4 linked regions of the Saccharomyces cerevisiae S288C genome follow. The gene in region 1 interacts genetically with each later gene. Each region holds a gene or a part of one and is shown in the gene's direction. Other genes may lie near its edges.

Region 1 (9,786 bases):
TCTTATACCCAGGTGGTAAGAAGTCCGAATCTGTTGTGTACCAAGGTTCAAGATCCTTGGACTCTTTATTCGACTTCATCAAGGAAAACGGTCACTTCGACGTCGACGGTAAGGCCTTGTACGAAGAAGCCCAGGAAAAAGCTGCTGAGGAAGCCGATGCTGACGCTGAATTGGCTGACGAAGAAGATGCCATTCACGATGAATTGTAATTCTGATCACTTTGGTTTTTCATTAAATAGAGATATATAAGAAATTTTCTAGGAAGTTTTTTTAAAAAAATCATAAAAAGATAAACGTTAAAATTCAAACACAATAGTTGTTCGCTATATTCGTCACACTGCACGAACGCCTTAGGGAAAGAGAAAATTGACCACGTAGTAATAATAAGTGCATGGCATCGTCTTTTACTTAAATGTGGACACTTGCTTTACTGCTTAGGAAACTACTTATCTCATCCTCCTCCATTCCCTCTCCTTTTCCAATTACCGTAATAAAAGATGGCTGTATTTACTCCTCCATCAGGTAATAGCAATTCCACCGACCATACTCACACACAAGATGACCACGACAAAGATGATAATGATATCAAGAAATTCTACATAAGGCCAAGTTTAGGCTTAAAACTGTGGGGTCCGCTCGTACCCGCTCCTGATAACCTACCGGGACTATACACTCTAATCACTATCCAATCTGCAGTGGGTTTCTTTGCCCTTTGGAGACTGAGAAGGCTCTACAAACTACCGCCACCGCGCCGCATTGCCACTGGCACTCACTCGGATTTATCCTTTGGCGAACTACCCAGTGAAATGATTGTCAATGGCAAGACTAAAATCAAAAAGGATATTGCTGACTTTCCAACTTTGAACCGCTTCTCCACCACCCATGGTGACATTGTGCTCGCCCCTCCTCCCATCATACCTCGCCAATCTCGATTCGTCAGCGTCAGAAAGCTCTTATGGGGGTTGTTTGGCTCTTTGCTACTTTCTCAGTCACTGTTGGAGCTTACTCGCCTGAACTTTCTTAAATACGACCCCTGGTGCGACGAAATGAAATCCGTACGTGACAAGAAGTTTTTCAACAATATTGTCAAATATTATCACGAGGGCATAGACCCCACCAAAATAAAAGTCAAGGATGCTATGAACGGTACTCCTCTCTCGACAAATATCCCTGAGGTCAAACAAAGCGTCGCTCTCGCTAGAGCGCAAGTTGAGGCGCAGAATCCCATTATTAAATGGTTCGGACCCTTGGAATACAAGCCCATGTCTTTCAACGAGTACCTCAATCGCATGGAATTTCACTTGGACATGTTCGAGTTTTTTCAAAATAAAAGAAACATTAGAGAAAATTCCATTGAACTCATCAATTCCATATCCCACAATCCGCAGTCTTCTTCTACTGGCCTTGAAGGTCTTTCCGAGTCCAAAAAACTCCATCTACAAAATGTGGAAAAAAGACTGCATTTCTTAGCATCTTCGGGAGATTCCATTTCCGCACCAGTAAAGAAGAGATCCAGCACCACACTCTCCCGAGGTGTCATTTTGCCCCATGACACGAAAGGCCCGCAAGATATTGATCTCGATACAATAAGATCGCTTTATGATCCATGGATGACTTTGGCCTTAGAAACTTCGCTAAGCATCAAATTCATACCAACTACCATGCCCTCCCATACCAAGACACCCACTAGCACGGACCAGCCGTTACCAGGGCCTACCCCCAAGGCTCTCACTAATGAAAAGACACATTAGGTCTTTGCGGATTGCTTAGTTGTACCGTGCGTATATTAAATCCTTCTTCGTACACCGTGATTTTTCAGACGGCTACCAGAGAAAATATGGCTGGGATTTCATATTATATATGCAAATATATAATAACATATATATATATACACTCCATTAATAACTAATACCTACATTCATATCAACACTTTCATCCTCCCCTTCCCCCATAGCAATGAAGATAACGTGTACAGACTTGGTGTACGTCTTCATTTTACTCTTCCTAAACACGAGTTGTGTCCAAGCCGTTTTTTCAGATGATGCATTTATCACTGATTGGCAACTGGCTAACTTAGGTCCTTGGGAGAAAGTCATCCCTGATTCTCGAGACCGCAACAGGGTTCTCATCTTATCGAACCCTACCGAAACTTCCTGCTTAGTTTCTTCGTTTAACGTTTCTTCCGGACAGATTCTTTTCAGAAACGTTTTACCCTTTACCATTGATGAGATTCAACTGGATAGTAATGACCATAACGCAATGGTTTGTGTGAACTCTTCAAGCAACCATTGGCAGAAATATGATTTACACGATTGGTTTTTACTAGAGGAAGGCGTAGATAATGCCCCTTCTACGACCATTTTACCTCAATCCTCATATTTAAACGATCAAGTATCTATTAAGAACAATGAACTACATATTCTCGATGAGCAGTCAAAACTGGCAGAATGGAAATTGGAGTTACCTCAAGGGTTCAATAAAGTGGAATATTTTCATCGTGAAGATCCCCTGGCGTTAGTGTTGAACGTTAATGATACCCAATATATGGGATTCTCTGCCAATGGCACAGAATTGATCCCCGTTTGGCAAAGAGATGAATGGTTGACTAACGTGGTAGACTATGCTGTATTGGACGTCTTCGATTCTAGGGATGTGGAGTTGAACAAAGATATGAAAGCGGAACTTGATTCAAATTCGCTTTGGAATGCTTACTGGCTTAGATTGACAACTAATTGGAATCGCCTTATCAACTTATTGAAAGAAAACCAATTCTCACCAGGACGTGTCTTCACTAAACTCCTAGCTCTAGACGCTAAGGATACCACGGTATCAGATTTGAAGTTCGGATTCGCCAAAATCTTAATTGTTTTGACGCATGATGGCTTTATCGGCGGCCTTGATATGGTCAATAAGGGCCAACTTATCTGGAAACTCGATTTAGAAATTGATCAGGGCGTCAAAATGTTCTGGACGGATAAAAACCATGACGAACTTGTTGTTTTTTCGCATGATGGGCATTATTTGACAATTGAAGTTACTAAAGATCAACCGATTATCAAATCAAGATCCCCCCTATCTGAAAGGAAAACTGTTGATTCCGTTATTAGGCTGAATGAACATGATCACCAGTATCTGATTAAGTTTGAGGATAAGGATCATTTACTGTTCAAATTGAATCCCGGCAAGAATACGGATGTACCAATAGTTGCCAACAACCATTCTAGTTCCCACATATTCGTCACAGAGCATGACACGAATGGCATTTATGGCTACATAATCGAAAACGATACGGTAAAACAAACTTGGAAAAAAGCCGTAAATTCGAAAGAGAAAATGGTGGCATATAGCAAGAGGGAAACAACAAACCTAAACACTCTTGGTATTACACTAGGTGACAAATCGGTTCTTTATAAATATTTGTACCCCAACCTAGCGGCTTATCTGATCGCTAATGAAGAACATCATACAATCACTTTTAACTTAATTGATACCATTACAGGAGAAATCCTCATTACCCAAGAGCACAAGGATTCTCCGGATTTTAGGTTTCCAATGGATATTGTTTTCGGTGAATATTGGGTCGTTTATTCCTATTTCAGTTCTGAACCTGTTCCAGAACAAAAGTTAGTAGTGGTGGAATTATATGAGTCACTAACCCCAGATGAGCGTTTGTCTAACTCAAGCGACAATTTTTCTTATGATCCATTGACTGGACACATTAACAAACCTCAATTTCAAACTAAACAATTCATTTTTCCCGAGATTATCAAAACAATGTCCATTTCCAAGACAACGGATGATATTACCACAAAGGCAATCGTTATGGAATTAGAAAATGGACAAATCACCTACATACCAAAGCTTTTATTGAATGCAAGAGGTAAACCAGCAGAAGAAATGGCCAAGGATAAGAAAAAAGAGTTTATGGCTACCCCATACACGCCAGTTATCCCAATTAATGATAATTTCATTATCACTCATTTCAGAAATCTATTGCCAGGATCCGATTCGCAGTTGATCTCCATCCCAACCAATCTGGAATCCACAAGCATTATATGTGATCTAGGCCTTGATGTATTTTGTACAAGGATCACACCTTCGGGCCAATTTGATTTAATGAGTCCTACTTTCGAAAAGGGTAAATTGCTTATTACTATATTCGTCTTGTTGGTGATCACGTATTTTATCCGTCCTTCTGTTTCAAACAAGAAGTTGAAATCCCAATGGCTAATTAAATAGATATTTACATACACATTATATATATCAGATACACATTTCAAGGCTCCTTATTTTGGCTTTCTTTTTTTTTTTTTTTTTTTTCCCTGGAAGACGTCATACTCGTGGTTATATAATCTCCTACTTCTTTGGAAAATGGACACTTAATCAATGACGGTTGATAGCAGTACGTGCACTAGCAGACTAATATGAAGAAGACGTTCGAGCAGTTTCGAAAAAGCAATTTACTATTTCAGGTTCTCAAAGGACCCCAGCATCTAGAATGTCAGAAGTTATTTGTCCTTGATTCTTCATTCAATCCACCACATCTGGCCCATTTTCAACTACTATCGCAGACTATTAAAAACTTCAAATTGAAGGACACCCGTTCGCATGTTTTATTACTGTTAGCGGTGAATAATGCAGATAAGTTGCCTAAGCCGGCATCTTTTCCAACTCGTCTGGAAATGATGTGCTTATTCGCTGACTACCTTCAGGAGAAGCTCCCCCAATCTGTAGTATCTGTCGGGTTGACTGTTTTCTCGAAATTCATCGACAAGGACAAAATATTACATGAGCAATTTGTTAAAGGATGCAGTGCAGATATAGGCTACTTAGTTGGTTTTGATACAATTGCTAGGATCTTTGATGAAAAATATTATCATCCTTTAAAAATCAGTGATGTAATGGAGAGCTTCATGTCGGGATCTCAATTATATTGCTTGGCGAGAGGCGATTGCCATCTCAGTGCTGAATCGCAACTAAGATACGCCAGTGACATCCTTGAGGGAAAATTCGAACCGGTAATACCAAGAGAATGGGGCGCTAGGATTCATGTTATGCAAAATGATTATCCAGCATTAAGAAATGTTTCATCATCCGAGATTAGGAACAAACTGAAGAATGGGCAAGTGGAGAGTTTGAAAGACGAGTTGCCATTGTGCATATACGATTATTTGATCAATAATAAGACAATATTTGATTGAAAGAGAAAGATAGAAATTCAAATGCCTTTCATGGAGATATATGTATATAGATAAAGATAATATTAGGAACAAAAAAAACTTTCTGTTATACTAGACTAGTAATCTTAAAACAATAACATAGCAACAAGGCATGTACCAAAAAGAAGGGGGTCCAATTGCATGCTTGGATTTGCTGAGTTCGCGTATTTTGAAATCACTCTTTTCTTGGAGTCTTCACCTTCTTGCGTTAAATCTTTGTACCCTTTTTCTATGATTGTACCATCCTGTTTAACATTCAGCGTATTTTCCTTCTTACCAGAAATACAAGTGAATTTCCCACCCCTGATGATTGATCTTCCATTTGATGGGTTTGTCCATTTATTGCAATCCAACACGTTTGATGAACTCTTAATAAAAGCGCTACCTTTCACCAGTTTCAAGCTATCGAACATGATATCTTTGAACGAACCTTCAAAGAAAATAGCACCTCCAATCTGCTTCAAGTTTGGCAGGAAAGTAATATCCTCGAGGGATTCGTTATCGGCGATCATCAAGCCACCTTGAATGTCTGTTAAGTTCTCCAAATTAACTTTTATTAAATTTACATTGTTGATAATTCCTAATGTTCCACCAATCTTCTGCAAATTGTTCAGGTTCAATTCGTAAAAGTAATTTTCGATGAACTCTAAAGAGCTTTTCACTTTTGTTAATTGTGGAAGGTAGACCAATGATGTGTCCCTAATCGTTATGTTTTCCACTTCTCTCAAGTGTGGCATTTCAAGTTCTAGCTCCTTAGCGTTCGCATGTACACTGAATTGTCCCCTAATGGTTTTAACGTTCGAATGAATAGTTTCTAAAAATCTGTTATTATTGATATTGAAAGTATCAATTTCCTGAACCTTGTTGAAATTCTCGATGTTTGCTAATGAAGTATCCGATATGACAATATCCTTTATAATCTCAATATTCTGAGAATCCATGGAGACGTAGTTCAAGATGGGAACAACTTTCCACTCCAGTGACTGACAAAATTTCAAAGTTGGAATTTCAACAGAAACCAAAGAGGTTAGTCCCTGTAATTGGAAGAGCCCTTCGATTTTATTCAAGTTCCCGGCTTGGATTCTGATCAGTTCAGGTGAATCCTGAATAATCAGGTCACCACCAATGGCCCTCAAGCTGTTCAAATCCAAAATGTTAGAATCATAGTTTGTGACTTTTAATGACCCCAAGATGAATTCACATTGGTTTTGTAAATGAAAAAGATCATGAGACGATTCAATGACGTGCAAATCTTTTTTACACAACTCTGATATCGGTGAGTTTGTGTTCAGACTCTTGACATCTATTTCAAAAAACGGTTCATTTGCTCTTCTTTGAAGTTCGAGATTACCGTTATGAAAAGGCTTCACATTATGTGGTCGCCTTGGCGGATCAATAGCGGCACCCAATGCATGTGTCACAAATAATGATGCAAATATAATCGCGAATAAACAACTTTTCCTAGTAATACGGTTCATAAGTCGATCAAGTAATGAAAAAATGGCTTTTGGTTTTCCTTGTTGTATTTCAGATGAGATATCTTACCAACAGAACAAGTTTCTCTATTGTATGTCACAAAAGGATATAGCTTCTCCAAAATCTTTCTTTTTTATATTTTTTTTTTTTTTTTTTTTTTTGAATTAGTGACGCATCTTCTGTACAGTAAAGAGAGAAAAAAAGGGTATAATAAAACAGTTAAGCTATACTATAGTAGCGCATACACACAACGTATATACATCTAGTATTAAATATTAGTAATTATTAAATAACGAAAAAATAAATTATGGTTGAAATAGAATCAAACGTAAAGAACAAAGAAAAAGCTTAATGGAACGAAAGTTAAAAAGCTCCCCAATTTTGAACAACGGTTATGGAATTAGAAAGAAAGAAAAAAATAAAGGAAATAAAAATGTTCCTAGAATAAGAAGGCAACACCGGCAGCGATTGCTGCTCCAAAGGCACCCGCCGCCATGGTATTAACTACGGCTTCGCCAATCGAAACTGTCGTAGTCACCGAAGCGGTAGGAAGAGTAGTATTTGGCTGCGTAGCATTTGGCTGCGTAGCATTTGGAGTAGTGGCGTTAGGTTCAATGCCAACTTGGGCGTTGATAGCAGTGACTGTAGCTAGAACAGCGACAATGTTTTTGATTTGCATTATTTAACGGAAGTATAAGGTTTGAAAAGGGAGCTTTAATTGTTTTAGCCGTTATCGATTTAGCGGTGAGAATGAAATAAAGAAAAGAGGAAGAAAAGACATTACATACAAATTTTTTTCAACTTAAATGGAGGTTATGTACTTTCTTATATAGATGCTAATCTTTTTTTTTCATCTCATCACAGATTTACGTCGTCAATCTACTAACTTCCCTTATCTTCCCTAAAGGGTATCTTACGTTTCCCCTTAGGGAAAATGAGTTTTGTCCCACCTTCCCTTTGGGAAAAGGCAATGTAAATCTTAGAGGCAAGAACCACACTTGTTGATAAGATCAGCTGCGTAACAGTGCGCTAGGCAAAGGGATGGAATAAGATAAATCCCTTGTTATCCCTTTGCTTTTAGTCTTATGTTGGGGAAGTCCACAAGTTATTGTTACATAAAGGAGGAGAAGAAAACTAGGGGAATATTTATAACACTCGCATTAGCTGATCGTAGGAAAGCAACACAAAACATATGCATCAGCTGGCCCTGTTTGTCTTGCTCATCGATTGATTTTGCAAGCAAAGCTGGGATACCCGAATGTGTATGGTTTTCCTTTTTTTGGTATTTTTCTCCTATAAACGAGCTTTTTTTCGTCTTGCATTCAGATTTAAATAGCTGCTTCTAAATATATACTTTACGCAAGAGGGTCCGGTCCCAATAGGAACCAAGCTATTGCAATTCCAGGGTTCAAGAGAGAAAAATCTGTAATCACTTCGAACCAATGTTTAGTAAATACCTCGTAACTGCATCTTCCCTCTTTGTGGCTTTGACCTCTGCAGCATCTACCGTTGATCTAGATGCTCTGCTTCTTCTACCAGGGGTCGAGTCCCACGACGGCGTTGATACTGTATTTTCGACCAAAGACTTTTATCAAGTGTCATTCGTCAAATCCATTGCTCCTGCTATCGTAAACAGCTCCGTAATCTTCCACGATGTTTCTCGTGGTGTGGCTATGGGCAATGTCAAGAGCAGAGCAAGTATCTTCAACCCAGAGGAAACGTATTACGATTGGGAACAGTACCAAGTAGTAAATAACGGAGACTGGCGAACCGAATGGGCACCTGCCTCTGACTGCATTTGGAGGGAGGAGAAGGATAACAGCGACGAAACACCGGACAGATTCCCCATCTCGGTGCCATATAATTGGACGTCACAGTACTCAATTGTAGATTATGACACAGACGCTAACGAAGACAATTTAGATTTCAGGTTTATTAAATCATTGCTAGATAAGAAAAATTGGTTGAAAAAAATTAACCAGACTGTTTCCCAATCCAGTATTATGGTAGCACCAATGATTAGGCCATACAATGTGGTCCAGCTTTGGTATTCAAAAGATATGGTTTGGGCAAACGTCCAAAGACAATATTGTAGCGGTGTTTATCCAGGAGGGACTCAATGTAGCGCTTGGTCCAGGTACTACCATGTTGATGCACCCACCTGCGATGAGCCTGTCGCCTCTTACATGACCAAAATGTTGGAAAATGAGGTTCAGTGTCCCAATGAGAGAAACGCAACTACCCTAGAGCCTCTCCGCCTGAATAAGCAGGGAGACTCTGATTTTTCTTTGACTTTCGAGGAAGAGGAAGAGGAAGAGACAGGATCTAAATCTCTTTGGAGTACATTGAAAAAAATTTTCTCTAAAAGAAGTATAAGTTGATCTTAGTTGGTAGCACTTTGATGAGGTCTCTAGCAAAAAGTCTACAAACAAATTCTTGAAAGTGTTTGATTGTATATCGATATATCAGAAACATACATATGATTTTTATCTTGTGAATATTCATCAAACTCCGTTTTTAGCCCCCGTGTAAGTTACTTTAATGAGTATTTGATCCTTTTTTTTATTGTGTTGGTTTTTATATGTTTTGTTATGTATTGTTTATTTTCCCTTTAATTTTAGGATATGAAAACAAGAATTTATCAAAGAAAAAAATCTTAGCTTTAAGAACTACAAAGTAAATAAAAAATAATAAATCACACCGGACAGTACATGAAACTGGACATATTTGAGGAATTTCTTTTGAAGAGTTGAGCATTCAAACTGGCCGGTCTTGCTGTGGCCTCAATCCACTTGAGCTCCAAAGAAGGCTCTGAAATGCTTATTTTTTTCAAGCGATACAAAGTAAACAGTTACATACCTGAATGATACTACCACAACTATTTACATTATCGTCCTGTCAAAAGGCGAATAATCAGAACTGTTTGTTAACATGTCATTTTATAAGAGCGGCCTGAAATACTGTCATAAGTGGTCTGTCGAAAGTAGTTATTACGGCGTCGGGCGTCGCGAATAGCTCAAAAGTCACCCCAGCTTACACGATATTCCCATAACCTACAGCAAGAAGCTATTCTTGGATACAAGCACCAGTT
Region 2 (8,949 bases), on another chromosome or scaffold:
TTCGATGTTTTTTTTGAAATGGCAAAGGATGACGAAAACCCTAGTGAACTGAACTTTCGGCTAACTATACATAATCGAAGTAAAATCGACTCTGGTGAGCTCTACATAGCTCCCCAACTTTTCTTCAGAAATACTTGGGCTTTTGACGGTACTAGAACAAAGGACAAGCCCTTGCTTGAAAGAGATGCAGAAGCAGCGAACTTAATCAATATGACTCACAAGAAATATGGTAATTGCCAAATGGTCTTTCAGCCATCTCCAGGTGGGTTCTCTTCCGGTACAAACGAGGAAGAGGAAGATAAAGAGGTAGAAGATATAGATCCTCTGCTGCTATTTACCGATAATGAGTCCAATTTAGTAAAACTATTTAACGAAGAAAAGAATCCTTCCGAGTACACAAAGGATGCTTTTGAAGAATATCTTGTTCAAGGCAAAACCGATGCTGTAAATCCTGAAAATAAAGGAACAAAGGCCTGCGCAGTATATCACTTCAAAAATATTCCGCCCGGAGAGTATGTTACTGTGAGATACAAATTTACAAATGACCCAAAAAACTCTATCTTTAAGGCACAAAACCTGGCTGTCGTAGATGAAGATGAGTTTGATTTGATTTTCGATAACAGAGAGGAGGAAGCTGATAACTTCTACTGGAGGATTACACCTTTGCCAATCAGTGATGAATTAAGAAACCTTCAAAGACAAGCTTTTTCTGGTTTGCTATGGACTAAACAGTTCTACAATTTTACATATGATGCTTGGTATAATGGTGACGCCAATGTTAAGCCTCGCCCTCCCCCTAATAGAGCTAATGGCAGGAACAAGAACTGGAAGCACCTTTACATCGAAGATATCTTATCAATGCCCGACAAATGGGAGTATCCATTTTTTGCTTCATGGGATACTGCGTTTCACTGCATTCCTTTAGCTATGATTGATCCAGAATTTGCAAAACGGCAATTGGATTTATTAACCAGAGAGTGGTACATGCATCCTAACGGTCAAATTCCGGCATACGAATGGAACTTCAATGACGTAAATCCACCAGTCCATGCATGGGCTGTGTATCGTGTTTTCAAGATCGAAAGAAACATGTACAACCGTGAAGATCGTACATTTTTAGAACGAGTTTTCCAGAAGCTTTTGTTAAATTTTACATGGTGGGTCAACAGAAAGGATACTGAAGGTAAAAATGTTTTTGAGGGCGGATTTTTGGGTCTTGATAATATTGGCGTTTTCAACAGATCAGAACCACTACCCACTGGCGGTACGCTTGAACAGGCTGATTCTACAGGTTGGATGGCCTTTTTCAGCCTTCAAATGCTAAATATTGCATTAGAGCTCGCCAAAGAAAACCCGGTTTATGAAGATATTGCCTCTAAATTTTTTGAACATTTTATCTTAATCAGTGACTCTATGTCCTTTGAATACGCTACTGATATTACGGGAGAGAAATGTAAAGAAGTTATCAAACAAAACCTATGGAATGAAGCAGACAAATTTTATTACGATGCCATCTCTTGGGGTGACCACAAGGTGCAACTACCAATAAGATCTCTCGTGGGATTGATCCCACTATATGCTTCTATGACTTTAGAGCCTAGTATCATAAAACAATTCCGCGGTTTCAAGAAGAGGGTTGATTGGTTTGTGAACAACCGTCCAGAAATCTTTGATAGAAACATTGCGTCCATGTCAAAAAAAGGAGTGGGAGAAAGACTACTTTTATCCCTAGTTACTAAGGAAAGATTAACAGCCATACTGTCACGTTTGCTGGATGAAACTGAGTTTTTGTCACCATATGGTATTAGATCTCTTTCCAAATATCATGAGAAGCACCCATTCGAAATGAATGTAAATGGTGTCGAATATATGGTCAAATATTTGCCGGGCGAATCAGACTCGGGTATGTTCGGCGGTAATTCTAACTGGAGAGGGCCCATTTGGTTTCCTACCAGCTTTTTAATAATGGAAGCATTACAAAGGTTTTACCTGTACTACGGTTCCGACTTCAAAGTAGAGTGTCCCGTAGGTTCAGGAGATTATTTGAATCTTGCTGAAGTTGCCGAAGAACTTGGATATCGTATGATTCACTTATTTGTTCCAGACGAAAACGGGGAGCGCGCCATTCATTATGGTGATCACTCTAAGTTTCTGTCTTCTGATCCATATTTCAGGGATTATGTGCCATTTTTTGAATACTTTGACGGTGATACTGGAAGAGGGCTTGGCGCTTCACACCAATGTGGTTGGACTGCTCTTGTGGCCAAATGGATAAGTGATGTAGGTATATCCTGTGTAAGACTACCTCGTACGCCAAGATCATCTGTGGCAACGACCGCTTCAACAGAGAGCTCTGAGCAAGGTCCCAAAATGAAGAGAATGGCAAGACGTAAGAGTGCAAAGTCTTTGGTAAACTACACTGCCACCATTTTGGACTTAACCGAAGAAGAAAAGCGCCATCATAGGATAGGGGGCACCCATTCTGGGTTGACACCACAAAGCAGCATTTCAAGTGACAAGGCTAGACATTTGATGGAGGAAATGAATGAAGAGGAAGGTATTCACGAAACTGTGGTACCTGAAGATCGTCACAACTTTGAAACCAAGCTTATAGGCAAGCTAAAAGATAAGGTGAAAAATATGAAAGTAACTGACAAGGCTAAAGATGAGGATATAGACCCAATGGACCCAATGAGTCCGTTGAATAAGGATGTGTCTTGATTAACTGCGGTGAACCTTCAATATCTGTACGTTTGAAAAATATTTCCAACGATATACCTCTATATTTTGATCTATAGAATATTTAATTGCAGTAGTTTTTTATCAGTAAGGTAGCGTTGATATTACTAGTGAAGGTAACTCTATAGTTCCTTGACATGTTCTTTAGATTCTAGAGGTTTTTTATTGAATTTGTTTTCCCACCTTATTTAAACTTTGAGAACAAAACTAGCAAAATCAATAATATAAGGACTGCGATAATGGCATAGCTTATGAATTTATTAGCAACTAGCCTTCTAGTCATTGTTTTTAGTGTCTTTATACTTTTATCCACATATGAATCCGCTTGAAACAAGGTCTGTCTTGCATTTTCCAAAGTTTCTCTCTGTGACCTTAAATCCATCATTATTTGTGACCCTATTCCTTCAGTTTCATTTGCTATTCTACTGGCATCTTTTAGTCTATCTCCCGATTTCTGTAAGATTGCATGGTTGCTCAACAACTGTTGCCTTTGGTCATCGTCAATATTAGATGCGTTAAGATCTCCAAAAAGTCTATCACGATCGCCTGAGTCTACTAAGGATTGCAGTGGTCGTTTGATATCGCTCTGTATAGTCTTCTTCCATTCTCTTAACTTCGCCTTGTACGTAGCACGTTCTGAGGCATCGCCTATGCTGTTATTAACTTCTACATCCATCTGATCTAGCAGGTCAAACAACTCATCTTGTTGCTGTTCTACGTGCTTCAGTGTAGTATTTCTCTGTGATAACGGTTGTGAGGGGGCCTCTGCTAAGCTCGCTTTGGCTTGTTCTAAGGTTGTTTTGAAGTCAGATTCGTATGATATTAATAGGGAACTCATAGTAAGCCATGCAGCAATGTAAAGAGTGCGGTTGATTCGTTTTATACAACTTAATGTAAAGCTTTACACTTTTCCAAGAATAGTAATTGCCCTATATAGCACGACTACTCCACTCCTAACTTTCATTGAAAATTAGACAGTCATGTGATCAGTAATATCGTCCATAGTGATATTTGTTTGTTTACCATTTTTGTTCTTATTTACTCTCTAATATGATTCTAGTATATGAAAGATACCACTGTCGTAGCTCGTATCAAAATAAAACTAGTCAGTCGTTGACCATTGAGCATATCGTCCGAGAATAAGGCTTTACTGTATTATTTTTTGATATCCACACGTTATTGAGCTCATTCACTGATCGACACATTTAGGCGGCTTTTCCGTTTGGCTGAAGCAACTTTGAAACACAACTACGACATTATAATTAAGCGCCTAAATAAGTGAATTTTGTGCCATAGGGTTGGACCGTGTATATATAAGAGCTATTCACTATTTTAATATTTGTTTTGGCATTTGAAACTCGTTGACATAAGCTTTATTATTAGGATGAATAACTCCAAAATTCCTAAACTTTCCTTTCATAGTGATCCAAACAACGTCACTCGAGACTTTCCAAAGACAAAACGACAGAAGGTTCAGAAAAGAGAAATGGATATGATACTAACTCCTAATAACAACAAGCTAAATATATTGCACAGCTCTGGATCTGGTATACGGCGCTGCTACACTGATGACACCTCCGCTACGTATACTAAGAAACTAACCTTTGGGGGGGACCCCAAGATTATTGAAAGGGTTAAGAACAATGAACGTAAGGTTAGAAAAGACATAGATTCACTACTGAATGCTATTTCTGAAATTGAAAAGGAATCTGTTCGTATTCATGCCAGGGAACTACCTGCAATAACATTAGAATTAGATGCAAAAGTCAAAGCGTGCAGGGAGCTACAAAATGAGATTGATGGACTATCAACGGAGATGGACTTGAAGGATAATCAATGTGATCTTCAAAGAAAGAATGTTGAGCTATCATCAAAAAATATAGTGTCTATGCATGCAGTAAAAGTACAAGAGTTCGAAAACGATTTAGAGGAAGAGCTATCGAATGCCAAAAGGGAGTGGACGTATAAATTAATGGAAGTAGAAAATTTGAAACCTGACGAAAGGTTAACTGACGAAATGCGACAGCTTAAAACAGAATTCGAGGAGGTCAATAGGAAACTATTCATTCTACAGAATGAAAATGAGAACGAGTGTAAAAACTACAAAAAAGAATTGGACAAGAAATTCGAGATATTCAAGAAAGTTAAGAACGATGCTAGAATTGAATTAGATGGGGAGCAAGAAAGACTTTCGAAAGTTTTAAAAGACCTACAAGACACCCATGGTGAACTGAAAGAAAATATTAAGACGTGTAGAGATGAGTTTAACGATTTTGAAAAAAGGATTGGAGAGGCAGAAGTGAACTTCCATAGCATGGAACTTGCCGTTGTTCCTCTCAAAAAGAAGCTTGCTTCTACATCACAAGCATTGACGCAAGTGCAGGAGGAGAAGAAGCAAGTCGAAGGAGAAGCAAACAATTGGAAGAAGAAGTACGTTAATGAACTAGAAAAGGTTCAACAGGAATTATACACACGACAAAATCTGGCCACTTCAATTGAAGAAATCAAAGGATACACCCGATGCTTTGCGTATGCCAATGAACGACAAATGCCTGATGAATTCCATATCAACTATGTGGATCGGTGCATTTGCGAGAATAGTGGAGAAAAACGGGTACAAGTATTTGATAGAGTAGTTCTCGAAGAAATCCATAAGGATCACAAACGCTTATATAACGAATGCATTCCGTTCCTGGAAAAATACATCAGCAAGTTAATTAACTGCAGCATTATAGTGGTTTCGCAGCAACCCACAGCACCAATGAAAAAGACTTTGCTAAAACAGTTAATTGAGCAGTACGGTGAGAATTATAAGATGACATTGAACATTTTGCATCTTGACGGAAGTATTAAACACAGTGACGTTGGATTAGATAACCCAACAGAAATTAGAGATCTGTCACAAGATGAAGAATGCATGAACATTTTAACTTTAGATACCAAGTTGGGAAAAGATGAAGAGTCCCATTCAATGAATATATATATCGGTAGTATGTCCACGGTACAGCTGAATAGAGAGCTTGATGATGCTCCCTCAGTCCTTTCGCATATTCTCACTAAAACAAAGCAGTGCTTTGTCTTCAAGATTAACGCTGGTGAAAACATCGAGAAGGCTCTAGCCTTAGCGGGAAAGCTGAAAAGAACAATAACATTACCTCAGCTAGATTAAGAAGGCCAGATCTTGTGCGCTACAATCACTTCGTCTCGTTCCCTTACATAAAAAACTTACGTAGCTACATTGTCGTGCGTGGCATCAACCTAATTATCCTAGCAAAATAAAAGAGAATGTTACGGGACTAACAGGCGGATGTAAATTACTCACTTAAACGCAGCCAAACATCATCGAGAACTTAGGGTAGCGTGCCACAAAATTTGCATGAATAAACTTTTGTTTTCCTAATTCGACAGCATTCCCTTGTTCGCAACACTTCACTGATAGGAAATCGAATAGCGCACACTCTCTTCTGGGACATACCCCAATGCGGTAAAGCCACGAAAACACCGCGCGTAAAGGGGTAAACAAGTCCATTCCTACAACCTCTTGGAGAAATTCTTTACCTACTACAACCCCGCGCCTGATACTTTCAGTATTCATGACAACTCGAGCCAGATCCCGCTCGTGGGCGTGTTCATTCTGTGACGATCCACTAGCGACTTCTTTGTTCAGCCTGCAAGAGACGCGTTCAAGGAAGAATTCGCGATTTTACTTCTTCGAGGGAATCTCGCACCGCGTTAGTTAGTTTCCAACCTTGAAAGCATCGGAGACGCATTTTTGGCGATTTTGCTGGATTGAGCTGAATGGTGCCAGGTCGAGGCTGGGAGGGAGACTAACTCGAAAGTGACGAAGACTCGAAAATTAAAAAAAAAGATACTGCAGAAGGCAAGATTGAGAATGGAGTAAAGGCAGCGTGGGTCCCCTGTGGAAACCGCAGTTTTCCTGCGCCAAGTGGTACCGGTGCGAGTGCAGCAATTAATCTCTCGATATTTTCTTAGTATCTCTTTTTATATAAGAATATATTTTGGAATTGGTAATGCTTATCTTCAATAGTTTCTTAGTTGAATGCACACTTAAGAGCAAATTGGCCAAGGAGTTCTTCGTTCGCTTTAATTTATTTCCTGGTTATTGTCAATTTATTCATCCCATCTCCCCAGGATAGAAGAAATTAGTGTAATTTTGCTGACAATACATTTTAACGACGATAACAATAATAGCAATTAAATAAAATAGCACTACCACCACTCCACTGCTCGTTAGCTATTTCTGTAAAATAAATAAAAAGATCATGAACCACTCAGAAGTGAAAACTGGGTTAATTGTCACTGCAAAGCAGACATATTACCCAATTGAATTGTCCAATGCAGAACTACTAACTCATTACGAAACCATACAGGAATATCACGAGGAAATCTCTCAAAATGTGCTGGTCCAATCTTCCAAGACAAAACCAGACATAAAATTGATCGATCAGCAACCGGAGATGAATCCTCATCAAACTAGAGAAGCCATAGTAACATTTTTGTATCAACTTTCAGTGATGACTAGAGTAAGTAATGGTATCTTCTTCCACGCTGTCAGGTTCTACGATCGCTATTGCTCTAAGAGAGTAGTGTTAAAGGACCAAGCTAAACTAGTTGTAGGCACCTGCCTTTGGTTAGCGGCCAAAACTTGGGGAGGGTGCAACCATATTATAAACAACGTCTCCATCCCCACAGGTGGTAGGTTTTATGGTCCCAATCCTAGAGCTCGTATTCCACGCCTTTCTGAATTGGTTCATTATTGCGGCGGGTCCGATTTATTCGATGAATCAATGTTCATTCAAATGGAAAGACATATCTTGGATACTCTGAACTGGGACGTTTATGAGCCCATGATTAATGACTACATTTTAAACGTTGACGAAAATTGTTTGATACAATATGAACTTTACAAAAACCAGTTACAAAATAACAATAGCAACGGCAAAGAATGGTCCTGTAAGAGAAAGTCACAATCTTCTGACGACAGTGATGCCACAGTGGAAGAACATATCAGTAGTTCACCGCAAAGTACTGGACTAGATGGCGATACAACTACCATGGATGAAGATGAAGAACTAAATTCCAAAATTAAATTGATAAATTTGAAAAGATTCTTAATTGATCTGAGCTGTTGGCAATACAACTTGCTTAAATTCGAATTATACGAAATATGCAATGGTATGTTTTCTATAATAAACAAATTCACTAATCAAGATCAAGGCCCTTTTCTCTCTATGCCCATTGGTAATGATATAAACTCAAACACTCAAACGCAGGTATTCAGCATTATCATCAATGGCATAGTCAATTCTCCCCCATCTTTAGTCGAAGTTTATAAGGAGCAATATGGTATAGTACCTTTCATATTACAAGTAAAAGATTATAACTTGGAATTACAAAAGAAACTGCAACTGGCCTCTACAATAGACCTAACCAGAAAAATTGCTGTCAATTCTCGTTACTTTGACCAAAATGCCTCTTCATCATCAGTTTCTTCTCCAAGCACATATTCTTCGGGAACCAATTATACTCCAATGCGAAACTTCAGTGCACAATCAGACAACAGTGTTTTCAGTACTACCAACATTGACCATTCATCGCCGATCACCCCTCACATGTACACTTTTAATCAGTTTAAAAACGAAAGTGCTTGTGACAGTGCCATAAGCGTAAGCAGTCTACCTAATCAAACCCAAAATGGTAACATGCCATTATCAAGCAATTATCAGAATATGATGCTAGAAGAAAGGAATAAAGAGAATAGAATTCCCAACTCATCATCCGCTGAAATACCACAACGTGCCAAATTTATGACGACTGGTATATTCCAGAACACAGGAGAACTTACTAATAGAGCGTCTTCGATATCGCTATCGTTAAGGAACCACAATAGCTCTCAACTGTGACCATTTTCTCATCAAGCCTACATATATACTTAATTAATAACGGAATACTACGCTTTTCCATCGTAAGTAATAATGACATTCATACTTGACATTTTAATACCAGATAATTTTAATGCCCACCTACAAACATCTAGCCTCAATATTCTTCACCTGAAACCAGCTGAATAGTAATATACCAATATTCTTTCAACGATTGATATAATTATCATCATGAACGGAAAAGATGACGCGATTTTCCAGTATTTTTTTCTTCCTTTCGTTCTAACGTTTGCGGTAAGCAAAGGAG
Region 3 (4,669 bases), on another chromosome or scaffold:
TAAGTTGCGTCCAAATGACAATGAAAAAGAGGAACTGTATACTTGGAAGAAGCCCAACAATACTGTTATAGGTATTCTCATTGGTAATCCACAAGTTGATAACCACGGTGAAGTGAACGTTGTCAATCACACAACCGGTGATCATTGCAAGTTGTATTTCAAAGCAAGGGGATGGAGGTCATCAGGAGCATATGAAATCACAGGCGAAGTCTACAACAAGAAAAAACAGAAGGTGTGGATCCTAGGAGGACACTGGAATGAAGCTATTTTTGCCAAGAAAGTAGTAAAAGATGGCGATCTCTCGTTGGAGAAAACTAGAACCGCTGCATCAGCAGGGAATGGGCCTACGGATGACGGAACGAAGTTTTTAATATGGAAGGCAAACGACCGTCCTGAGGAGCCATTCAATTTAACACCTTTTGCTATCACGCTGAATGCTCCACAACCACATCTATTGCCATGGTTACCCCCCACAGATACACGTTTGAGACCAGATCAAAGAGCAATGGAAGATGGGCGTTATGACGAAGCTGGTGATGAGAAATTCAGAGTTGAAGAAAAGCAAAGAGCAGCACGCAGAAAAAGGGAGGAAAATAACCTTGAATATCACCCACAATGGTTCGTCAGGGATACTCATCCCATCACAAAAGCTAAATATTGGAGATATACGGGCAAATATTGGGTTAAAAGAAGAGATCATGATTTGAAAGATTGTGGTGACATTTTTTAACACGCCTTTTTTATGCGAGCTTTTTTCCTGGTACTTGTATGTATTTTGAATGTATTTTATTGTACTGAATTGTATTTTATTCTACCGCACATTTGTTTCTTTTGGCATATATAGTATGTTTACTTAACAATAGGGATTTCCTTCAGTTTTCCTAGATGTATCAATTTAGTTATCTTTTCGAACACTTTGGTTATGTCACCATGGTCAGATGACCATATTATTTTGAAATCCATATAACCAATTACAAAGCAAGCAACAAGCGAGTAAATAAAATCGTTAGGCGGTTACCATAACCCTTCGTTACGACGCTAAAGTGCTATATAATGCCTCCATTACGGCTGCGATAGAACTGTGCCTAAATTAGCGGCAGAGGTTGAAAACCAATCATCACTAACGTATTCAATATTAATTGTTGAGAAAACCAACTACGGATTGTTATAGAGATCAAACTATATGCACTGAGAGGACGTTACTTCTTTTTTTACTACCTTTCTGTTCCTGTAATAACAAGTTCCGTGGAACTCAAAGAAAGGTGCCTCAGCCCGTACGAACCTTTCCACGGATAATCACGTGATCGCTATTACTAATAGCCGTTTACAGTGATGGTTCTAGAAAGTTCCGTTTCGGCGAAACTTGTTGAGGAGAGCAATTCTATATAAGGAAAGAATAGTTCGAAGCCCAATTTGGGGAAAGCCCGGGATGAGCAGCCTAACCCACACGGATAATTTTTTATCGTTCAAGGAGGAGGATACGTTTTATCTCTAATATAAATTAAAGATAAACCCGAAACTCTTTTTTCTTCTTGGCGTGGAATATTTAAGGAGTAGATCAGTTCCATTTTGTTCATCCTTTTCTCCTCAAGGAAGAACTCCGCTTTTTAGTTGAACTAATAGTAGATAGTACTAATAGCTAATTTGTATCTTTTCAAAAGTTTTCTAGAATTTTCAAGCAATCATGGCTTCTACGGAACTTAGCCTAAAAAGAACCTTAACGGATATTTTAGAAGACGAGTTGTACCATACTAATCCAGGTCACAGTCAGTTTACGAGTCATTATCAAAACTATCATCCAAATGCTAGTATTACTCCATATAAGTTGGTGAATAAGAACAAGGAAAACAACACTTTTACGTGGAATCATTCATTACAACACCAGAATGAATCGAGTGCAGCTTCGATACCCCCACAACAAACCTACCATTTCCCGATATTCAACAAATACGCGGATCCTACTTTAACTACCACCACCTCTTTTACGACTAGTGAAGCAACGGCCAACGATAGACAGATTAATAATGTCCATCTCATACCAAACGAGATTAAGGGTGCTAGCGAAACCCCATTGCAGAAGACCGTCAATCTAAAGAATATAATGAAAGTATCAGACCCGTATGTACCGACACGGAATACGTTCAATTATGATGTTAAAATTTCCAACGATTTTTTCGATAACGGTGACAATCTATATGGTAATGATGAAGAAGTGCTTTTCTATGAGGATAATTATAATCCGAAAATGCAGTGGTCACTTCAAGATAATAGCGCCGCAATAAACAATGAGGATGCGAGAGCTATTTTTAACAATGAATTTGACTCTGATGACGACGATATCAGTGATGATGAAGAGGATGAAATAGAAGAAAATTGTTTGCAACAAGAGCAACACCAAGAGGAGCCTTTACTGTCATTGGATGTTACACCAATCTCAATGTTTGGCTCAGATCAAAAAACGGGTCGTGCCAAGAGTTCTAGTCATTTATTTAATGAGTACAGTTACGTTGACTCTAACATGGACAGCATTTCCAGTGTTGTATCTGAAGATCTGTTAGATGAACGGGGACATGAGAAGATAGAGGATGAGGATGAGGATAATGATCTTGATGAAGACGATATCTACGATATCTCTCTCTTGAAGAACAGAAGAAAGCAAAGTTTTGTCCTCAATAAAAACACTATTGATTTTGAAAGATTTCCATCTCCCTCAACCTCGGCAAACGTACCGTCTACTGCTACTACCGGTAAAAGGAAACCAGCAAAATCATCCAGTAACCGTAGTTGCGTTAGTAACAGTAATGAAAACGGCACATTAGAAAGAATAAAGAAGCCTACATCAGCTGTAGTAAGCTCAAATGCTAGTAGGCGGAAGCTAATTAATTATACTAAGAAGCACTTATCTTCACATTCATCTACAAATTCGAATTCGAAACCTTCGACTGCATCACCATCGGCCCATACGTCATCTTCTGACGGTAATAACGAAATATTTACGTGTCAGATAATGAATCTCATTACAAATGAACCGTGTGGTGCCCAATTTTCAAGGTCCTATGATTTAACGAGACACCAAAATACCATTCACGCTAAAAGGAAGATTGTCTTCCGTTGCTCGGAGTGTATAAAAATTCTTGGATCTGAGGGCTATCAGAAGACGTTTTCGAGACTGGATGCTTTAACAAGGCATATAAAATCGAAGCATGAAGATTTGTCGTTAGAACAACGTCAAGAAGTTACAAAATTTGCAAAGGCTAATATTGGTTATGTCATGGGTTAATTAAGGTTACAAATTATATAGGAGATAAAAGAAGAAAACCTCACACAAAATGGAAATACATATACACATCTATATATATTTACAATATATATCATATATCTGCATTCAGGAATGTTCTTATAAATATCACATTTTTAAAGTACCTCATTGGACTTATAATAAGTTTTCTATTGGTTTTCATTATACTTCGGAAAATACACAATTATATTATATACTTACCCCCCTTAAGGATTTTTTATGAAACCCTCATTACGGACTTTCTCAGCATTGATCTTAGCAGATTCAGGATCTAGGTAGAATTTTCTGATAAACTTAAGACCATTATTCTTATCTAATTCAACGACTAAGGGGATACCATTTGGAATATCAACATTCTTGATGTCATCATCTGATATACCCTCCAGAATTTTCAGTAGCGATCTCACTGAACTTCCATGGCCCACAATCAGGCATGAAGATTCATCATATTGATTGGCTAATTTTAATATGACATTTTGTAGAAAAGGATTCAATCTATAAACCACTTCACGAAGAGATTCGGAATCCGGTAATACAATGTCATGATTGCTGCATTCCAATTCATATTTTATTTGTCTGTTTGGCTCCTTGAATTCGTACCCAGTAGAAGAGCCCTTCTCATTTTCTTGTTGAATCATCTCACGGTCAAGATCTACAGGTGGTGGCTTACCCTCGTAATCTCTCCTAATGAACATATATTTATCCTTACCATATTCTTTTAAAACATTCGGTTTCCTCTGGCCCTGCCAGGAACCGTAATGACGTTCATTTAGCCTCCAAGTTTGAAGAATCGGGATTTTCATATTATCCTTGTCATCACTGCCAAATTCGTCTCCAAGTTTGATTTTATTAAAGTCGTAAACAACCTGCAGTTGTGGCTTTAACTTAAATTCTTCACACATCGTTTCTATGGTCTGTTGGGTCCTAATTAAACGTGAGGTGTAACCAATCTGGGGTAATCTCAAATTATTAGCTTTACAATATTGTTCGATTAGCTCGGCAGAATGACGAGCTTGTTCTTTACCTTTTTCGGTTAGCTTAGCGTCAATCCAACCACAGAATATATTCTCGTGATTCAATTCACTTTGTCCATGCCTTAACAAGAACAATGTCATGACATTGGATGGTGTGCTTGCAGTCATTGTTTACTAAGTTAATATATCTATATTTTTTTTATGTATTCTTGGGTTTAAATTGAACAACCTCGTATTTGGATGTGTGTCTCGAAACACTTCTACGTATATATATAAGCTACTTTGGATTCAAAGATAATTTTGTCACGTTTGTTCTGGTGGGAAATTTCAGCCAAAGGGAAAAAAAAAGAAAACGGTGAGCTCCGTATTATCTTCGTCGTGGGGTGATAACAACATG
Region 4 (7,684 bases), on another chromosome or scaffold:
ACGGGTCAGATTGTTACTGCGGTAATTCGGTAAGTTTTCTGACTTCTTTGACGAAATCAACAGATTCAAACTGTGGAACTAAATGCTCTGGCTGGCCTTACCAAATGTGTGGAGGGTCATCGTACATGAACGTGTATGTAAATGCTGAAACTTTTGTTTCATCGGTTGAATCTTCCTCTTCCAAAGAAGGGTCTAGCACTTCCTATATGCCCTCAACAACTTCTTCATTGTCCTCCGCCCAAATTTCTTCAACTACTAGGAGAACGTCAACAGATATGAAAAGTTCTGAAATGATAGCCACGACAGTTTCTACCACTTCAACAACCTCTTCCTCGACTTCCTCTACTACCTCTTCTACCACCTCTTCTACCACCTCTTCTACCACCTCTTCTACTACCTCTTCCTCGACTTCCTCTACTACCTCTTCTACCACCTCTTCTACCACCTCTTCTACCACCTCTTCTACCACCTCTTCTACTACCTCTTCTACTACCTCCTCTACTACCTCCTCTACTACCTCTATCTTTTCTGTTACGTCTAGCTCCTCATCCATTACATTGTCCTCATCTGAGCATACCACAGTCGATAGCCGTACTTCTTCACCCTCTTCCACCTTGGTGCCAGTGTCCTCGAGTAGCAGCACACTATCAACTCCAAAAGTGACCTCAATGACCCCTAGTACGTCATCAACGATACCAATAGTTACCTCAGTGGAACTAGTGACTAGTGTGGTTACAAAAGCGATCGTGAGTACTTCTGATCAACATCAGGAAACAATATTTGTTACGAGGACATCCGTGGTTGAACGATCTTCTGAGGTAGCTACTGCTACTGCTGCCGCCTCAAATAATAGATCTAATTCGACTTCGAAGCAGCGTCTGAGTGGTGGAGCCATTGCCGGTATTGTTATTGGTGTTGTGTTTGGCGTAATTTTTATTATTTTGATTCTATTGTTCCTGATATGGAGGAGACGGAAATCGCACGACCAATTAGACTTGGAGGAAACGAAACATTATCAGCCCTATTCGTTCGGTGATGAGGATGCAAATCCAATAGGACCGCCTCCCTCCTCTGGTACGACAAATTGGATGAGACATTCAAGGGGTAATACAGCGGGTTCTATCGGTACAAGTAATATGTATGGTTTTTCTATGAGTAATGGTGCAAATTATAGTAGTCCTAGTTCAAACACCAGTGGAAGCATCATAAACAACTTGGCTGGCTTACAAGATGCTACGGTTCAGAAACAGAACCTTCCATCGACAGTTTTTGAAGAGGCAAATACTTTGAATAGTGCAAATGAAAGGTTCAGTGCCAATTCTTTACCCGACATGATGATGAGCGGACCATTGCAAGTGGTAAACCCTGATAATCCTGATAATCCTGAATTATCTAGTACCGTATCTCATAATCGAGCCTGAAAAACTCGCATAAACTCTCAACATTAATGGTAATCAACTGGTTCTGCTGGACGGAGCCATTCTAAATCATTAACTTTATAATATCATGTTTTATACCCTAATATTTAAACAATTTACTGCTTTTGGCACTTCAACTGTTAGAAAAAGAACAATAATATTTAGTATTTAGTTTCATTTTTAAATTTTCTGATTCACTTCATTTGCAGCTTCTAATGATGTTTGTGGTACAAAAATATAAACAATTTTAAAATATTAAAAAAAAATGCTTCCAATCGGATTTGAACCGATGATCTCCACATTACTAGTGTGGCGCCTTACCAACTTGGCCATAGAAGCTAAATCTCTGAAAGCTGCGCTCTTCAAAGGCGAACCAAGCAAGATAAATTAATATTATTATGTAAAACTATCGTTTTCCTTTTGTTGATTCCTATATCCCGGAGAAGAACTACTAATTATCAAATTATTCACCAAATGATCAAATTTAGCAGCGTAGTGAGTGCCACTATGTAGATGTTGGAATAAAAACCAACTATCGTCTATCAACTAGTAGTCATACTATCAATATATTATCATATACGGTGTTAGATAGTGACATAAGTTATTATAGAAGCTGTCACCGAAGTTAGAGGAAGCTGAAATGCAAGGATCGATAATGTAATAGGATAATGAAACATATGAAATGGAATGAGGAATAATCGTAATATTGGTACATAGAAATATAGATTCCATTATGGGGATTCCTATATCATCGAGGAGAACTTCTAGTACATTCTGTATACCTAATATTATAGCCTTTATCAACGATGGAATCCCAACAATTATTTCAAAATTCACCCATTTCTCAGTAGAATTATTAATATTGGGGAATATATGGGTTTCTATGGTTCGATAGTACTGGCGCACATTCAGCATACAAATCCTACTACCTTGGTAAAGACCGAAATGCCAACAGCCGTCATTAAATCACGATATAATAGAGCATATTTCAAGTTATATAGATCCATATATCAAGGGTTTACCATACGCTCTTCCAAAACTTGTAAAGCTAACTGTCTTCGTCTTTCTTCTACAGTCATAATTTTTTTGGCGCCTCTACTTTCTGCGATGGTGTTCCCAATATCTATATCAATATCATGAAAAGGTTTAATGACTTTAAATTTTACAACAACTACATTATAAATGAAATTGAAAATCGGCCTCAAAATCGGCTTAATTAGATCAGGAAAGAAGTAAATCAATTGAAAAGTATCAGATGCATCGCCGACCAATATTTCCTGACCACCTTGAGAATTAGTTGTTGGCAAAGAGGGACAATTCAAGGGTGCAAGTTTCTGGAAAAACCTCAAGTACGACCAACTGGCAAAAAAGGTAACCCAAATGGAGAACAATTGAGCAAAATGATGAAACCATATTATTTGGGTTACCGTCATTGTAAACATTACAAAAATGGGTAGTAATTTGAACCTAAAGTTTTTGGCCAAAAATTGAGGTGTCTTCAGATGGATTATAGTTGTTTCAGGCAATAACTGTCTATAAATGATAGGGAAACCGATTAAAATTGTGTAGTTCCCGTCTAAGGGAATATCCAGCCTTACCTTATTAGAGAAAAAAGATACTAACAAAGTCAGCATGATGATCAGAACGTTTGTAAGAGAACCTAAAACTATGATAAATTTGAACATTTCTTTGGAAGAGTTCCAATTGCGTTCAATGAAGGATCCACCAATGATCAAATTCAATAAGTTCACTACCACCTTCCAAGCTTTAGTGTCGATGAAGTTGGATAGAACTAATGAGGTGGGGTACCTCCAAATCTGCGAAGGTACCATTTGCAAAAGCGGCGAAGTAATCAAGTTGTAGTCCAAGTTAGGGTCTTCAAGAACTAGCTTGTTGTACAAGGATCTCCTTATACAGAAAAGGGTTGCAGTTAAGCATATATAAGTGACTGTAATAAATTTAGTAGCATCAGGAATCTTATTGATATTTAAAAATGAATCCGGGATATTCAATTCTAGGAACCTCGAACTATATTGCATTATAGTGAACAAATATCTTTGTTATAAATAGATTAGTCGTCTTCTTTTTCTTGGCTTGGTTTGTATGAGCTTGTTACGTATCAAACAAAATATTCACATGTTTTTCTCACCTTAAAGACAGAGGCGCGATTGCGTTTGCGAAATTCCAATGCCAACAAGATAAGCTTGACGAAGGAGTTAAGAGGGCGGCTTGAACTAAAAAGAGAAAAGCAATAATGACGAACGATATTAAGGAGATACAAACAATACAGCCGGGATTGTCCGAGATTAAGGAGATAAAGGGTGAACTGGCTAATGTGAAGAAAAGGAAACGCAGGTCTAAGAAGATTAATAAATTGACTGATGGTCAAATACGTATAAATCATGTTTCGTCTGAAAAAAAAAGGAGAGAATTGGAAAGAGCTATATTTGACGAACTGGTAGCAGTAGTACCTGACCTGCAACCCCAGGAAAGTCGGTCAGAACTAATCATATACCTGAAAAGCTTGAGTTACTTAAGTTGGTTGTATGAAAGGAATGAAAAGCTGAGAAAACAAATCATAGCTAAGCATGAGGCAAAAACCGGCAGCAGCAGCAGCAGCGATCCCGTACAAGAACAAAATGGAAACATTCGGGATTTAGTACCGAAGGAGTTAATTTGGGAGCTGGGTGATGGACAGAGTGGTCAGTGATTCAAGGAGTAGGGTAAAGTAAGTAATATAAGCGAAGAAATTCTTCCCATACCTTTTCTTCACTTTGCAGAGGGGAGTGGTGCATATCCCACAAAGAAAAGTAGCAACAACAATGATATATATACGTTACTACTAATGCTTTCCTTCATCGAAAGTGTGCCGAAGTATTTATTTAATCTTTTAGTGTTCAACTTACTATAATGTGATACTTTTTCAATATTGTTTGCCGTTGAAGCGATAGTGCTTTATGTCATTTTATCTTTCTTTTACATTGTTTTATTTTAGAGCTAAAATTGAACATCAGTTTGCAAGAAGTCAGTTGGTTGGCCTTTGCTATTAAGAGACCATAATGTTATAGTGATTGAGATCAGTTTCACCAACTAATAACAATTAACCCGGGCGGTTAGTGTAGTGGTTATCATCCCACCCTTCCAAGGTGGGGACACGGGTTCGATTCTCGTACCGCTCATATTTTTACTTTCTTATCAAACTTTTTTTCCTCCGGGACGTGAAATAACCGCCGAGGTTATTCTCGGAGCATTCTTTTTTGTGGCTTTTGATCATCCATCATCATCATCATCATCATTATTACTACTACTACTACTACTACTATTATTATTATTATTATTATTATTATTAGTATTATTATTATTATATTGATTAGTTATTAGATAGATACAATTAAGAAAAATTTATGTAAAAGGTCAGAATAAACAGCATTTTTCTCCTCTTTTTTTATTTTTAAAAAAAGAAAAAGAAACTTCTAGTAAAGTGCAGCACATTCAAGTGTGATTAGTTGAAAATGGAAGCAATTTTACGGTTCAATTTCTTCAAGAAACCGCCTTCCTTCTTGGTTTCCTTCTTCTCACTGACGGCGGCGGAAGCTTGCTTCTTAGTTTCTTCAACTTTGTTGGCAGCTTCGGTCTTCTTTTGTTCGACACCATCAGCAATGTTTTGTTCTTCCTTCTTCACCTGTTCAGCTTCTGGAGTAGCTTCATTTTTTAGGTTGTCGATAGAAGCTTCAGCTTGTTCCTTTACTTCTTGGCCCTTGTTTTGCAAAGATTCTTTGGTTTCTTCCAACTTTTGTTGGACATCTTGGGCGGCAGTTTCAGCTTTGTTTTGAATTTCAGACATTATTAATTGATATAAACGTAGTTTTGTATGTTTCTTTGATTTGAACTTTTAAGTATACAGAGAAAAAAACCGATCAAAGAAAACTAAAGTATAATGAGGTTAAAAACGAAAGTAATAAAGTAGAAAGGCTATCAAGCAAACTGAGATGATCTTCGACGTAAAAACTCGCTCTATATATATACGCCATATAAGCCCATCGGCGATGGGGGACAACACGAAGAAACAAGAGAAGAGGAGAACCGCACAGAAAGCAGCAGAAACAGAGCAAACCAGCATTAACTAAAGATGATAAAAATAAAATTAGGTAAGAAACCTTAATTGGATATACAAAAATACACTGGAGGCACAAATCGCCATCGATATAAAACACGATAAAGCCCTGGTGCACCCATAAACCACACGTTTAACTATTTGGGTCGGGGCACGACGAAATCTAGGGATAGGCACCCGGACCGTCGGGGCAATACTAGGCGCACACCGCGCTCGTGAAGCAGACCTCCCGGCGAGTTTAGCTGCGCCACGTACTGCTCTAACGCGAGAGACTCCTGAAACACAGGTCTAGAAAGAAGGGGCCCCAAAACCCAGCTCCACAGACCGCCCGTAAGCATATCGAGCAACAGGCCACTTAAGTTACGCCACCCGAACACCTCACCTTCTTCACGCAGCAAGAATCCGTTTACCCGGTGCACAACCTCCGCGAGCTCTGCCGCACTAAGATATTCTGACAGAGGCGAGACGGAGGAGCAGCCAAACACGTGATCCCCAATGTCGTAACGCCCGCACCGCACAAAGCTAGTGCCATCGTCGCCCACGATTGCCGCCGGCTCGCTACCGGGAAGCTGTGTACTAAATTGTGGCGTTTCAAGGCTGCTGCGAGACTCATCGAACCGCCGGGGCACTCGTACCACCCGGGTCACCTGGAACTCGGCAGAGCCCCGAGCAGCATACACATTCGGGAAATGTGTAATACACAATTTGTGGTCTTCGTCGTGCTCTGTGGGTTTAGCGTCTTCGGAACCGAGGTCTTCGTAGAATGAATACGAAAACTCATGGTAATTAAAAAATAACGCCCTTTCGCTCGTATTTGCGTTATCTTCTTCCTTTTGATGGCTATCGCACATCTAGTAAGGGTTAGATTGAGTATTGTCCTCTAATGTAACTTTTTCCTCTTATTCCTCTCCTCCCCTTAGCTATTATATATCTTTTTTACCGAATCTTGAATTAGGAATAGTTTTAAAATCAGGCCGGAGGCCGAGCTTGCGACAACTACGACCAAAAAAAACAAAGGAAAAACGAAAAGAAGAAAACATGCACAGGAGAACATAGTTGGAGAAAAGGGTTAGAACAGACCGATACAGAGATAAACTAGCGAAGAATAATAACTTTATACAAAATTAATCATGAGCACATCCGCCAGCGGTCCAGAACACGAGTTCGTTAGTAAATTCTTGACCTTAGCCACTTTAACTGAACCGAAGCTACCAAAAAGCTATACTAAACCTCTGAAGGATGTTACCAATTTGGGTGTCCCGTTGCCTACTTTGAAGTATAAATATAAGCAGAATCGTGCCAAGAAGTTAAAACTGCACCAAGATCAGCAAGGTCAAGACAACGCCGCCGTCCACTTAACCTTAAAGAAAATTCAAGCTCCCAAGTTCTCCATCGAGCATGATTTCAGCCCATCAGATACTATCTTACAAATAAAACAGCACTTGATCAGCGAGGAAAAGGCCTCCCACATAAGCGAGATAAAACTGCTTTTGAAGGGCAAAGTCCTCCACGATAACCTGTTCTTATCGGATTTGAAGGTCACGCCTGCCAATTCCACAATCACAGTCATGATTAAGCCGAATCCGACTATATCTAAGGAACCCGAAGCCGAGAAATCCACTAACTCCCCTGCTCCTGCTCCTCCACAGGAACTCACTGTGCCCTGGGATGATATCGAGGCTCTTCTGAAGAACAATTTCGAGAACGATCAGGCTGCGGTTAGGCAAGTCATGGAGCGTCTACAAAAAGGCTGGTCTCTGGCCAAATAAGATTAGTATAGTTAGTACGTACATACTTGTTATTTTACACAGTTGCGCTTTTTATCACGGTTGCGCTTACTATTTTCTTCTTTCCTTTGGGCGGCTACTCGCCCTTTGTCTATTTCTCGCCATCGCCACATACTCTCTACCGCGATCAATCTTTTCCTGGGTAATACCATTCAACGCAACCTTCTTCTTCATCAGGACTTTCTCAAAGATATCATTCGGATTGAGCAATCTTTTTGGGAAATTTTGAATCACTTGCAAAATCTCCATATCTGCCTCTTCCTGCGTCTTAATCTTGTTCTTTAATCTTTTGAAAGTTGAATCAGAGTCATTACTACCACCGAAGGTGTACGAAGAGTACTGTCTAAACAGTTTCTGGCTTTTAC

What was found.
Region 2: mutations in EMC1 (region 1) and CIK1 together harm fitness more than expected from each alone (negative genetic interaction), as found in Saccharomyces cerevisiae (2 studies listed by BioGRID).
Region 3: mutations in EMC1 (region 1) and RPN4 together harm fitness more than expected from each alone (negative genetic interaction), as found in Saccharomyces cerevisiae (5 studies listed by BioGRID, with this or other methods).
Region 4: mutations in EMC1 (region 1) and INO4 together harm fitness more than expected from each alone (negative genetic interaction), as found in Saccharomyces cerevisiae (2 studies listed by BioGRID).

The regions. Positions count from the first base shown.
Region 1 is NC_001135.5:39,076-48,861, reverse strand, and holds EMC1 (Emc1p), read left to right. Parts: upstream 1-1,956; coding exon 1,957-4,239; downstream 4,240-9,786. Other genes in the region: protein disulfide isomerase PDI1, read left to right, coding at 1-209; MGR1 (Mgr1p), read left to right, coding at 498-1,751; POF1 (nicotinamide-nucleotide adenylyltransferase), read left to right, coding at 4,425-5,201; SPS22 (Sps22p), read right to left, coding at 5,306-6,697; YCL048W-A (uncharacterized protein), read right to left, coding at 7,135-7,374; YCL049C (uncharacterized protein), read left to right, coding at 8,138-9,076. UniProt on the Saccharomyces cerevisiae protein: Part of the endoplasmic reticulum membrane protein complex (EMC) that enables the energy-independent insertion into endoplasmic reticulum membranes of newly synthesized membrane proteins.
Region 2 is NC_001145.3:655,622-664,570, forward strand, and holds CIK1 (Cik1p), read left to right. Parts: upstream 1-4,123; coding exon 4,124-5,908; downstream 5,909-8,949. Other genes in the region: YMR196W (uncharacterized protein), read left to right, coding at 1-2,721; v-SNARE protein VTI1, read right to left, coding at 2,924-3,577; cyclin CLN1, read left to right, coding at 7,023-8,663. UniProt on the Saccharomyces cerevisiae protein: Together with the minus end-directed microtubule motor KAR3, involved in spindle midzone assembly, karyogamy (nuclear fusion) during mating, and with an essential function in meiosis I.
Region 3 is NC_001136.10:413,724-418,392, reverse strand, and holds RPN4 (stress-regulated transcription factor RPN4), read left to right. Parts: upstream 1-1,684; coding exon 1,685-3,280; downstream 3,281-4,669. Other genes in the region: oxysterol-binding protein related protein OSH2, read left to right, coding at 1-730; phosphoglycerate mutase family protein GPM2, read right to left, coding at 3,505-4,440. UniProt on the Saccharomyces cerevisiae protein: Acts as a transcriptional activator of a number of genes encoding proteasomal subunits. Binds to a PACE (proteasome-associated control element) DNA sequence 5'-GGTGGCAAA-3'.
Region 4 is NC_001147.6:107,875-115,558, reverse strand, and holds INO4 (Ino4p), read left to right. Parts: upstream 1-3,672; coding exon 3,673-4,128; downstream 4,129-7,684. Other genes in the region: WSC3 (Wsc3p), read left to right, coding at 1-1,421; YOL107W (uncharacterized protein), read right to left, coding at 2,429-3,457; ZEO1 (Zeo1p), read right to left, coding at 4,921-5,262; SHR5 (Shr5p), read right to left, coding at 5,670-6,383; MDY2 (Mdy2p), read left to right, coding at 6,663-7,301; Rab GTPase-activating protein MSB4, read right to left, coding at 7,371-7,684. UniProt on the Saccharomyces cerevisiae protein: Transcriptional activator of phospholipid synthetic genes (such as INO1, CHO1/PSS, CHO2/PEM1, OPI3/PEM2, etc.).